2 linked regions of the Caenorhabditis elegans genome follow. The protein of the gene in region 2 purifies or fractionates together with the protein of the main gene of each other region. This does not show direct contact. Each region holds a gene or a part of one and is shown on either strand. Other genes may lie near its edges.

What was found. The genes of interacting proteins can lie anywhere in the genome.
Region 1: the proteins of prp-21 (region 2) and snr-4 fractionate together in Caenorhabditis elegans (co-fractionation; one large-scale study listed by BioGRID). This does not show direct contact.

What each region holds. Positions count from the first base shown.
Region 1 is NC_003283.11:11,977,964-11,981,330, reverse strand, and holds snr-4 (putative small nuclear ribonucleoprotein Sm D2), read left to right. Parts: upstream 1-1,607; 5' UTR 1,608-1,634; coding exon 1,635-1,642; intron 1,643-1,692; coding exon 1,693-1,866; intron 1,867-1,997; exon of another isoform or gene 1,998-2,018; intron 2,019-2,469; coding exon 2,470-2,644; 3' UTR 2,645-2,823; downstream 2,824-3,367. Other genes in the region: rpt-1 (26S proteasome regulatory subunit 7), read left to right, coding at 1-28, 242-595; MIF-like protein mif-2, read left to right, coding at 2,927-2,980, 3,076-3,144. UniProt on the Caenorhabditis elegans protein: Plays a role in pre-mRNA splicing as a core component of the spliceosomal U1, U2, U4 and U5 small nuclear ribonucleoproteins (snRNPs), the building blocks of the spliceosome.
Region 2 is NC_003280.10:483,306-490,903, forward strand, and holds prp-21 (uncharacterized protein), read left to right. Parts: upstream 1-1,560; 5' UTR 1,561-1,563; coding exon 1,564-1,669; intron 1,670-1,799; coding exon 1,800-2,088; intron 2,089-2,174; coding exon 2,175-2,334; intron 2,335-2,556; coding exon 2,557-2,926; intron 2,927-3,707; coding exon 3,708-3,987; intron 3,988-4,462; coding exon 4,463-4,647; intron 4,648-5,112; coding exon 5,113-5,318; intron 5,319-5,576; exon of another isoform or gene 5,577-5,659; intron 5,660-6,174; coding exon 6,175-6,372; intron 6,373-6,800; coding exon 6,801-6,974; 3' UTR 6,975-7,098; downstream 7,099-7,598. Other genes in the region: gldi-1 (NLE domain-containing protein), read right to left, coding at 349-625, 669-744, 796-889, 937-1,073.

The sequences.
Region 1 (3,367 bases), on a different chromosome or scaffold from region 2:
CGGATTCGATCCACGTGGAAACATCAAGGTTTGTCTTTAATTCTTTATGGAAATAACCCAAAAAAATCTGTAATATAAATTTATTTATCTCTTGCTTTCTTGAAGGCAGTTTATATCATTAGTTCAGTCCTTTCATCCAAAAAAAAAGACACACATTTTTCGTTTGATAAGTTTCCAAAAAATTAATGCTTACATGTATTGTAAATATGAGTGTTTCATTAAAATAATTTGATATTTTCAGGTGCTTATGGCAACAAACAGACCGGACACTCTCGATCCCGCTCTCATGAGACCTGGTCGATTGGATCGTAAAGTCGAATTCGCTCTTCCAGACCTTGCAGGTCGTGCTCACATTCTCAAGATTCATGCAAAACAAATGAGCGTTGAAAGAGATATTCGTTATGATTTACTTGCTCGTCTGTGCCCAAACAGTACAGGAGCCGAAATTCGCTCAGTCTGCACCGAAGCTGGAATGTTTGCAATTCGTGCTAGAAGAAAGGTGGCAACTGAAAAAGATTTCCTTGAAGCTATCAATAAGGTTGTCAAGGGATATGCCAAATTCAGCGCCACTCCAAGATATCTGACACATAATTAATTGTACCCTATTCGGTTTTCATTCTCTTTCCGGTCCTCGATTAACTTATTTTCGCCCGTCCACCCATTTTTTTTTGTACAGATTCCCCATGTCTCCGATTTTTGTCTTATTTATTACATCCTATCGTCGTGAGATGCACCCAAGTTGGCCCAACACTGTCAGATGTATTCGTTTCGATTTTATGGATAAATGTGATTGGGTTTCTGACTATTAAAACTTGTATACACCAGTTTAAATGAATCTGAAAACGTGCCATAAAACCTTTTCATAAGAAGAGTAGTAATCTAAACGCGATTACGGTGTAATGCCAGAAAAAGTAAGAATAGAAGAAATTGGCAAGCGTATTTTAATGGTACTAATATTGTGCACACTTTACCTAGGAATATATTTTTCATCTCTACAATGTTGACTAGCGCCCTGAATGCTCCAAGGATACTGTTTTCCAACTAAATGTTCAACTGTTCAGTATTTATATTCTGCCTCCTAGAGGCGTTCAAAAATTGCGTATGCCACCCATGTTTCAGGGGACATCGCGGGCAATTGGGAAAAGTTTTCAACCAGCAATAAACGCACCTCGGCAAAGCCTCATTGGTCACGTTATCGCCCCAGCGCAAAGCTAAATTCAGCAGCTCACTCAGCTGATCCTATAAAACACAGCAACCGACAAATCGCGGCTTTCGCGCACAATGGTGCTTTCTGCATTCTGTATTCTTCGGAATGCGGCGCGTGTGCGTTGCGGTCGTCTTTTTCGAATTGCAATCGCTCGCGGTTTATCGGAGTCTCTCTGTTTTCTTGAAACGAATCTCTTCCCTTCGATTAAAACTGCATAAAAACTAATAAAAATCTCAAAATTGATTTTTCTTCTACTTTCTTAAGATCTGTAAAGTTTCGTTCCTCCGAATTCCTCTTTATGATTATTTAGAAAACCTCGCCCAATACCTTATTCTTCACTCTTATCGGTATTTTTTACATGAAATTATCATTGATTCTCAGCTAACCAATTTAATTTCAGGGACTTCTATCAAAATCAACTTTGATCATGTCGGCGTGAGTTCACATTGTTTTCATTGACCAGTAGTTTAAATTTATTTTTACAGCCAAGCCAAACCCCGTTCAGAGATGACTGCTGAAGAACTCGCTGCAAAGGAGGACGAGGAATTCAATGTCGGACCACTCTCCATCCTCACCAACTCAGTCAAAAACAATCATCAAGTTCTCATCAATTGCAGAAACAACAAGAAGCTTCTCGGAAGAGTTAAGGCTTTTGACAGGTTAGGTTTCTTAGAAATACTATTAAGTAAAAACTCACAAGTATTTGTCGGTAGTAAACTTCAGACAACATTTTTTAAAGAAAAGTGTTTCAAAAATAATATTTGAATCATCGATAGTGAACGTATTTTGGTTGTCGTCTCGATGCTGTAGCAAAATATCATTTACTATATATAATGCATTTATTCCGTTTGTCCATAGTTTGTAGTCTGTGAAGGTTTGGCTTAGTGTAGGGATATAGTCGGGGTACTGTAGTGGTACAATAGTGGTACGGTAGGAGTACTGTATGATTATGGTAGTTTCAGAAAAATTAGTTTTCAGCCCCAGAAGTCGGGGCAGCGCCAGAGGTGCGGTCCACGGCTGGTAGATTTAATAAAACGGCACGATCCTCCTGTGCTGTAACAAATTGTCGTGGCATCAAATTATTCAAACACGTATTGCTACGATTTCCAAAGGGAAAACACAAATCTTACACTAATATAAGTACTTTCTCATTTGCCGTAACTTTCGTGTCCCGCAAAGCATGCAAAATTCCAAGAGGAGTTTTCTACTATTGTTCGTATAAAAATAATTGGAACGTATAGTCTAATTCTTTACTTTTTCAGACATTGCAACATGGTCCTCGAAAATGTGAAGGAAATGTGGACTGAAGTGCCAAAGACTGGAAAGGGAAAGAAGAAGGCAAAGTCTGTCGCCAAAGATCGTTTCATCTCAAAAATGTTCCTCCGCGGAGACTCCGTCATTCTCGTCGTCAAAAACCCACTGGCACAAGCTGAATAATTCACCTTCAGAAAATCTCCCAATCAGTACGGTTTTCTCGTATTTGTTATGACACCTTACAATTTTCGAAATTTTCACTCTTGTTCTTCCCCCTCCCGTTCACCCTGTTGTTTCGTTTCAATGATCATCATTTTCCACTTTTTATTTATTGATAAACGTTCCTATTTAATACCACAGTCGTGTTTTTTTCTGAAGTTGAATCCGTATCCTCGCGGCAGATGATTTTTGTAGTTCTGCGTGATTGTTGCTTGAACTTGAAACCGGTTTTTCGATTTTTCGTCGATGTTGACTGTCAGTGCTATCAGAATATCATCGTCTTTCGTCTTCAAAGTTCAGGTTACTATTGGTCGTTATTTTTTGAATAAAAACGCTATATTCCACGTTTTTCATGAAATGTGATTTATTGCCATATTCCAAAAAATCAATTTCAGAAACGAAAAATGCCGATGGTCAGAGTTGCGACGAATCTACCAAATGAGAAGGTTCCTGTTGATTTTGAGGTTTGTGTTTTAATCAAACATTTTCTAAACGACTCAACAAACACTGAACAGTCTAGAGAAAATTTGTAGAAAAAAACAAGTATTTTAAGAGAAACAAATATGGTTCCCGGTCTCGACACGACGAGTTTTTTCGTTGCGAGAAAGTGTGCGCCTTTAAAGATTACTGTAATTTTATACTCGAGTTTCTGCAGAATTCTTAAAGATTTTATATAGTTTTTCTCAC
Region 2 (7,598 bases):
ATTCGAAATGGGTCTGCTAGACTACAAATTACAAATTTCGATTTAGCAGACCCAAGTGGTTTTGAAGAAGTTTGGGTCTGCTAGACTACAAACTACAACTTTCGATTTAGCAGACCCAAGTGATTTTGAAGTGATTGGGTCTGCTAGACTACAAACTAGAAATTTCGATTTAGCAAACCCAAATAATAGTGATTTTCAAAAGGGTTTCAGTAAAAATACATCGTTTCAGTGGGGTTTTAATGGAAATTTTAAGAGAACATTGTAGTGATAAATACAATTTTACGGCGATTTTTTGTAGAAAACCCAAATTTTCAAGACATTTCAGTGATAAATGCGATTTTCCTGCACCTCGTGATCCATTGCTTGTGCCTTTTGAGCGTTTTTCCGATTTGCTCTCCGGTTTTCGCGTTCCAAATGCAAATTTCTCCGTTTTTGCAAGCCGAAGCGATTTTCGTAGCATCCGGTGACCAGGCGATGCAGAGAACCCAACTTTTATGGGATTTACACGTGTGGAGAGGCAACTCGAGCTCAATATCCCAGATTCGCATTGTTTGATCGCCGGAGCCCGACGCTAGACCACGTCCGTCAGGGCTGAACTGAGCAGAGATTACTGGCTCTCCGTGACCTGAAAAATATATTTAAATGCGTCAAAACGATCAAAAAATTACCTGGAATGCTAGCGGAGCATCTGGTAACTGGTCTCACACGGAACACTGCTTGTGGCTGATAAACAAGCTTTAATGTCTGAAATTTTAAATTTTTTAAAAAGTTTTCTATCTTCTTTCAAGGGCTTACAGTCTCAAAATCAATTTCCTCTAACGATTTTCGAATGGAATCGACAATTTCAGCGCCTTCTGTGGTGAAGAAGGAAATCGGCACAGGATCGTCACTGAAAACTCAGGATGAGATACAGAAAATTCATTATTCAAACAAAACCTGCTCCCGAGAAGCTGATTACACAAAATTTGCAGCTCATTCGTGGAGATGTCCACTGGAACAAGGATTCCCGATCCTCCGAGCTCGTTTTCGTCCTCTGACACGAAGCTGACCGAGATTTGTGGACTTTCAGTCATTTTGTTACCTGAAACCGTTTGAGTTTTAATTATTTTGAAAGTTATAACAAGGGAAATCGTTGAAATTGAACTGGAAATCGAAGAAATTCGTTAAGAAATTGCGCTAAATAAATTATTTTTCTCAGTGGAGCGAAGAAAGAAATACAGTGGAAAAAGTTAGGCCATCACTTTTTAGCATTCATTTGTATAGAGAAAACTGTAAATTTTTTACAGATTGTTATGTTTTTACACAATATAAAACATTTTTAACGTAACAGCAGTAAAAACTATGTCGAAAACAATAAAGAATAGATAAAAACCTACCGGGAAAATTTGAATTTGGTCATGGTCGAGTTCTGTAGTGGCCTAGTAACCTCCACTTAATATTCGAAAACGTTTATTTTTCAGTTTATTGCTTTATTTCTCTATTTTTAATTAAATTATTAATTTTCCTGAATTTTTTGCGAAATTTACGAATTTTCAAATTATTTATCTTATAAATTTGCAGAAAATGACTGCAGTTGTCTCAAACCGCGAGGAGGACTCGATGAACAACGAGCCCTCGTTGTCAGGGCGTGCGATTATTGGATTAATCTACCCGCCGCCGGATATTCGCAGTAAGTTTTATAGTTTAAACCAAAAATAAAACAGTTCTGCATGGTTTTGGAAAGATTTCACGCGGAATTCCGCAAAAACTAGGGCAAATCGATATTTTCCAAAAATAAGCAATACATTTTCAATTTTCAGCAATCGTCGACAAAACCGCCCGTTTCGCTGCAAAAAATGGAGTGGACTTTGAGAATAAAATCCGCGAAAAGGAGGCGAAAAACCCGAAATTCAACTTTCTCTCCATCACAGACCCATACCATGCCTACTACAAAAAGATGGTCTACGATTTCTCAGAAGGCCGAGTTGAGGCTCCGAAAGTACCGCAAGCAGTGAAAGAGCACGTGAAAAAGGCTGAATTTGTGCCTTCAGCTCCACCGCCGGCCTACGAGTTCTCAGCGGATCCATCCACGATTAACGCCTATGATTTGTAAGTTTTTTAGAACTTCTAGAACTAAAATTAGATGAAAAAGCTATTTTTAACCTAAAATGAAGTGAAAACCTTATAAATTGCAGAGATTTGATCCGACTCGTTGCTCTGTTCGTTGCACGAAATGGCCGTCAATTTCTGACTCAATTGATGACACGAGAAGCCAGAAATTATCAATTCGACTTTTTGAAACCGGCTCATTGCAACTTTACATACTTCACAAAGCTCGTTGATCAATATCAGAAGGTAAAAATCAAGAAAATCTGCGTATTTCTAAGAATTTTTAAAAAAATCTAGATTTTTCGGTTGAAAACTCAAAAAAAATCCAGCTTTTTCGGTAGAAAACTCAAAAAAAAAACATTTTGATAACTTTTTCACTATTTTCAGTTTAAAGATGGCGGAAAAGTGAGCTTTATAACTTTTATTTGAAATTTTTAAGCTAAAAGTTGCTAAAATATCAGTTTTCAGGTTCTGGTGCCCTCTACCAACGTAGTTGCCCAACTCCAAGACGATGCTACCAACAAAAAACGTCTCATAGAAGATATCAATTATCGTGTATCCTGGGAAAAACATCAAAAAGGTCTAAAAGATCGCGAGGAGGCAGAAGCCGAGAAAGAGCGTCAAGCCTATGCATCAATCGATTGGCATGACTTTGTAGTTGTTCAGACTGTAGATTTCCAGCCAGGAGATACTTCTCAGCTTCCACCACTATGCACACCAAAGGACGTTGGAGCCCGTATTCTTTTGGAAGCGAGAAATGAAATGCAAAAGGCGGCGGCTGAAATGCAGGAAATGGATATGGAAGAGAGTGATTCCGATGACGAAGATGCCGTTCAAGGTGCTTTTTTGGAGCATTTTACGTTGAAAATAGACAAAATTCACTTTTTTCCGGTTTTTTCCAACAGTTTTACTTTTAAAATAGATGGAAAACAATGGCAAACTATGAAAACGCTGAAATTCAAATTTAAGTGCTTCCAACCTGGAATATTTAAAATTTTTAGGCGAATTCACATTTTATTTCGTAGAAAACGAACAAAAATCGCAATTTTGAGTTAAAAAGTAAGATTTTTTGGGTCTGCTAAATCAAAACTTGTAGTTTGTAGTCTAGCAGACCCATTCTCTTCCAAATCACTTGGGTCTGCTAAATCGAAATGTGTAGTTTGTAGTCTTGCAGACCCAAGCTCTTCAAAACAACTTGGGTCTGCTAAATCGAAATGTGTAGTTTGTAGTCTAGCAGACCCATTCTCTGTAGAAACTACTTGGGTCTGCTAAATCGAGTTTGTAGTTTGTAGTCAAGCAGACCCAATTTCTTCCAATTCACTTGGGTCTGCTAAATCGAAAGTTGTAGTTCGTAGTCTAGCAGACCCAAAAAAATCAATTTTTTTTTATTAGCTTTGGCAAATTTTAACTCGGAAAACTAATGAATTTTTGGGACATGTGAGTTTCTATCCAAATTGATGGTATGAATATCGATATTCTCGGCTGAAAGTGCAAAAACTACCGTATTCTGACCAACAATTATTGGAATAGAGCACACGTGTCACCCGAAATACGAAAAGTATTTTTTTTTAATTTTTCAAATTTTTAAATTAAAAATGAGTATATTTATATATTTTCAGCACCAGAAGCCCCTGCATTCACTGCTCCGCTGCCACCTACAAAACAGAAAGACGTGATTGTTCGAGATTACGATCCGAAGAGAAATGTGACCCAAAAGCCAAAAGCTGTGGAGAACTGGATCATTTCACCGCTCACCGGAGAGCGTATTCCATCGGATAAGCTCGCCGAGCACGTCAGATACAATACTGTCGATTCACAGTATAAAGAGGACAGAGATCGTCATATTGGAGAAAGAAGCACGGAGGAGCCCGTATTGGCTCTTGGAGCTGATATTTCTAGGTTAACATTTCAGAAATTTCTTTGAAAAACGAACAAAAGTCTAAAAATCGCCACAATAATCTACAAAAAATCGATTTTTCGTGGAAATTTTGTTCATTTCCGCATTTTTCGCTCGAAATTTGAGATCAGTGCTTCAAATTAGACCTGGAAAGATTCTAGCTCAATTTCAGAAAATTTGGGTTATCGTAGCACCAGAAGTACTCAAACACTGACTACAGCACACCTAAGCACCAAATTTCACGACAGTGGTGAATTTTGAGCTAAAATCGATTTTCAGGAGTAAATTAGAGTGCTAAATCTAAAATTGGAATAAAAATGTCTTAAAAATTGTAAAAAGTGAAAATTAAAGATTTTCAGACAAATTTCCGATTACAAATGCCCACAAAAGATGTTCAAAGCTGAAAATTATAGATTTTCAGACGAATTTTCATTTTTCCACGTGCCAATATCACTAAACCCCAGTTTTTTCTTTCAGAAATCTTGGCAATTTCGCTGAACGTCGTACGGATATCTTCGGTGTCGGCGGAGAGCAGACTATGATCGGAAAGAAGCTCGGCGAAGAGGACAATTCGCAACAAGGGCAGAACAAACTGATTTGGGATGGAACTGAAGAGACTCGGGATATGATTACCCGAGCTGTACAGAATAAAGTCACTTTGGGTACGGGAAATCTAATTTTTTGGCGAAAATTTTGAGTTTTCCGGGATTTTGTTTGGGAAAATTACACGATTTGTGTGGTTTTCTATGTAGAAATTTCTCTAAAACACTCAAATGTTTCAAAAATTCGAGTTTTCATGAAAAACCAGTAATTCAAAAAAAAAGCAATTTCCTCTAACAAAAACCGTGCCAAGTTTTGGATTTATGATATTTTCCATCTGAAAAAAATCTGGTATCTCGGCTGAAACGGGCAATATATACCGTAGTCCAAGTTTTCCCAAAAATTCCAACCAACAATTTGTGCAATAAAGCACAGTTGCCACCGGAGATGCAAAAGCTATGTTTAATTTTCCAATTTTTGGCTGAAAATTGAGCTAAAAATTTACAATTTTCCCGTCATAAAACTCACCGAAATTTCGCTTTTCAGTGTTTTTTATGCAAAAAAATTAATCATTTTTCATTTTTCAGACCAACAAATCAACGAAATCCACCGTCAACACGGATTCGTTGCCGATCCATCAAAGGAAAAGATTGGAGCTCAGCAGGTGCCACGTCATCAATCGACCCAGGGAAATGTGACAATTACTCAAGGAATAACGAATATTCCTGGACAAATGCCATCCGGATGGCCGCCGGTTCCACCAATGGGAATGCCTGGGATGCCGAATCAAGCGGTATGGGATTTTTGAGTTGAAAAATCTCCAAAAAAAAATTCGTTTTTTCATGTAAAATCCTGGAAAAATCGGATATTTCGACAAAAATTGTCAATTTTTGGACCAATTCTCTTTGTATTGCAAAAACGAATCGAAAAATCCCAAATTAAACATGAAAACTAACATTTTCAATTTGGGTCTGCTAAATCGAGTTTGTAGTTTGTAGCCAAGCAGACCCAATTTATTCCAATTCACTTGGGTCTGCTAAATCGAAAGTTGTAGTTCGTAGTCTAGCAGACCCATTCGCTTCACAACAACTTGGGTCTGCTAAATCGAGTTTGTAGTTTGTAGTCAAGCAGACCCAATCTCTTCAAAATCCCTTGGGTCTGCTAAATCGAAAGTTGTAGTTTGTAGTCTAGCAGACCCAATCTCTTCAAAATCCCTTGGGTCTGCTAAATCGAGTTTGTAGTTTGTAGTCAAGCAGACCCATTTTAAAATTAGTTAAAATTGGTTAAAAATCGCGAATTTTTGCTGATTTCAGAGAGATATTGTATTTCTTTCGAAAAATATAAAGAAGTGGTTTTTTGTGTATTTCTGTTTAAAAAAAAATAAGAAAAAGCTACACCAGGTTAGCTGAAACTATATTTTTGTTGAAAAATAGTGAAAACGCCACCAAAAGTTATCTTTAACCGCGTAATTAGACGATTTTTCGGCGGAATTAACTGGAAACTGTGTTAAGATTAAAATTACTGAAATTTCCACAAAATTAAATTTTTTTAAATGTAAATTTCATCTCAAACGGACACAGAAATTCCCATTTTCACTGGAAATTCTCATGAAAAGCTCCAATAAAATGCATAAAGCTCTATAATTCCAGCTTCCTCCAATCCGACAAATGGACTTTGGCGGTGGACCTCCAGCGAAGCGTCCTCGTACCGAAGATGATTTGATACCAGAAGCTGATTGGCTTAAAAAGGTCAACGGAGCAATTTCGCTTAATGTTCATCTTCCACAGGCTCCCGAACACGGAATGGATGGCTCAATTGTGCAGTTTACAATTCAAGTTACTGCACCGGTGAGTTTTAGATAAGAAAATTGTTTTTTTCCCCTGAACGAATTTTTTCACCTTTATTTATTTATTTATTTATTTATTCGCTTTTAAACCATTTGAATAGTAAGTTGATAATAAACATAAAGAATAGGTAAGAGGCGAACAAATATAAGATGACCGATTGGACAAAGGTCCGTGGCCAAATGAGGGTGGGGGTATGAAAGACTTATTTACAGAAGCTTTGATGGGGGAAAAAAAACTATAAGTGAGATCACATCATAGTGTCAAGGGGCAGGGAACAAATACGTTTGGTAAACGTTTCGGCTGACACTGGTTTACTGAACAACTTGGCAAGAGAGTTCCAAAAAGATAGGTATTTATGCAAAAATATTTGTTTGTTGAATGGCCCATTGGGAACCACCTGATGCCCAATTAATTCATAATTTTTGCAGATGTCCGAACTCAAACAACAAATCCAGGATCGTTACGGAATGCCTGTTGGAAAGCAGAAGCTGATGTCTGATGGCCTTTTCGTGAAGGATAATATGAGCTCGGCCTTCTACAATTTGGCAGATCGGACGGCGATTTATCTGCAAGTGAAGGAGCGTGGAGGAAAAAAGAAGTGATGAGCTATCGATTATTTATTACTCTTATTAATATTTATTTTCTTTCAAACTTTATTCTAAAATTGGACGCCAATTTTAATTCTTCAAATCTCAACTTTTCTTCCAATAAATTTGTAAAAAAACCGTTCTGTAAATTTGGAGTGGAAAATCTAAAAGTTCAGACATGGCTATACAAAATTCAGATTCAGCATGTCAAATTACCCCGGGACACTTTTTCTCCGGCTTTTAGCCTTAAATTTCAGAAAATTGGGTTACTGTAGCACCAAAAATACGCAAACATCGACTACAGTACCCCAAAACACCAAATCTTACTACACTGAAGAGTTTTGGGCTGAAAATTGATGTTTAGGGGTAAACTGGAGTGCTGAAATCAAAAATTAATATGAAAATTCTAAAAAATCGATATGAAAATCTTAAAGTCCGGCATTTTCAGACAAATTCTTGATTTTTCTTGGTTCAAATAATAAATTCGAATTTTTTTGTTTATTTTGTTCAGATATCCAGATTTTTTAAATTTTACTTGTTACAGGACATTTTCAGAACAAAAAATACTAGAAAAACAGAAAAAAATTGCGTTTTCAGTAAAAACAAAACATTTTTTGCACAATCTGAAAATTGTTCGAT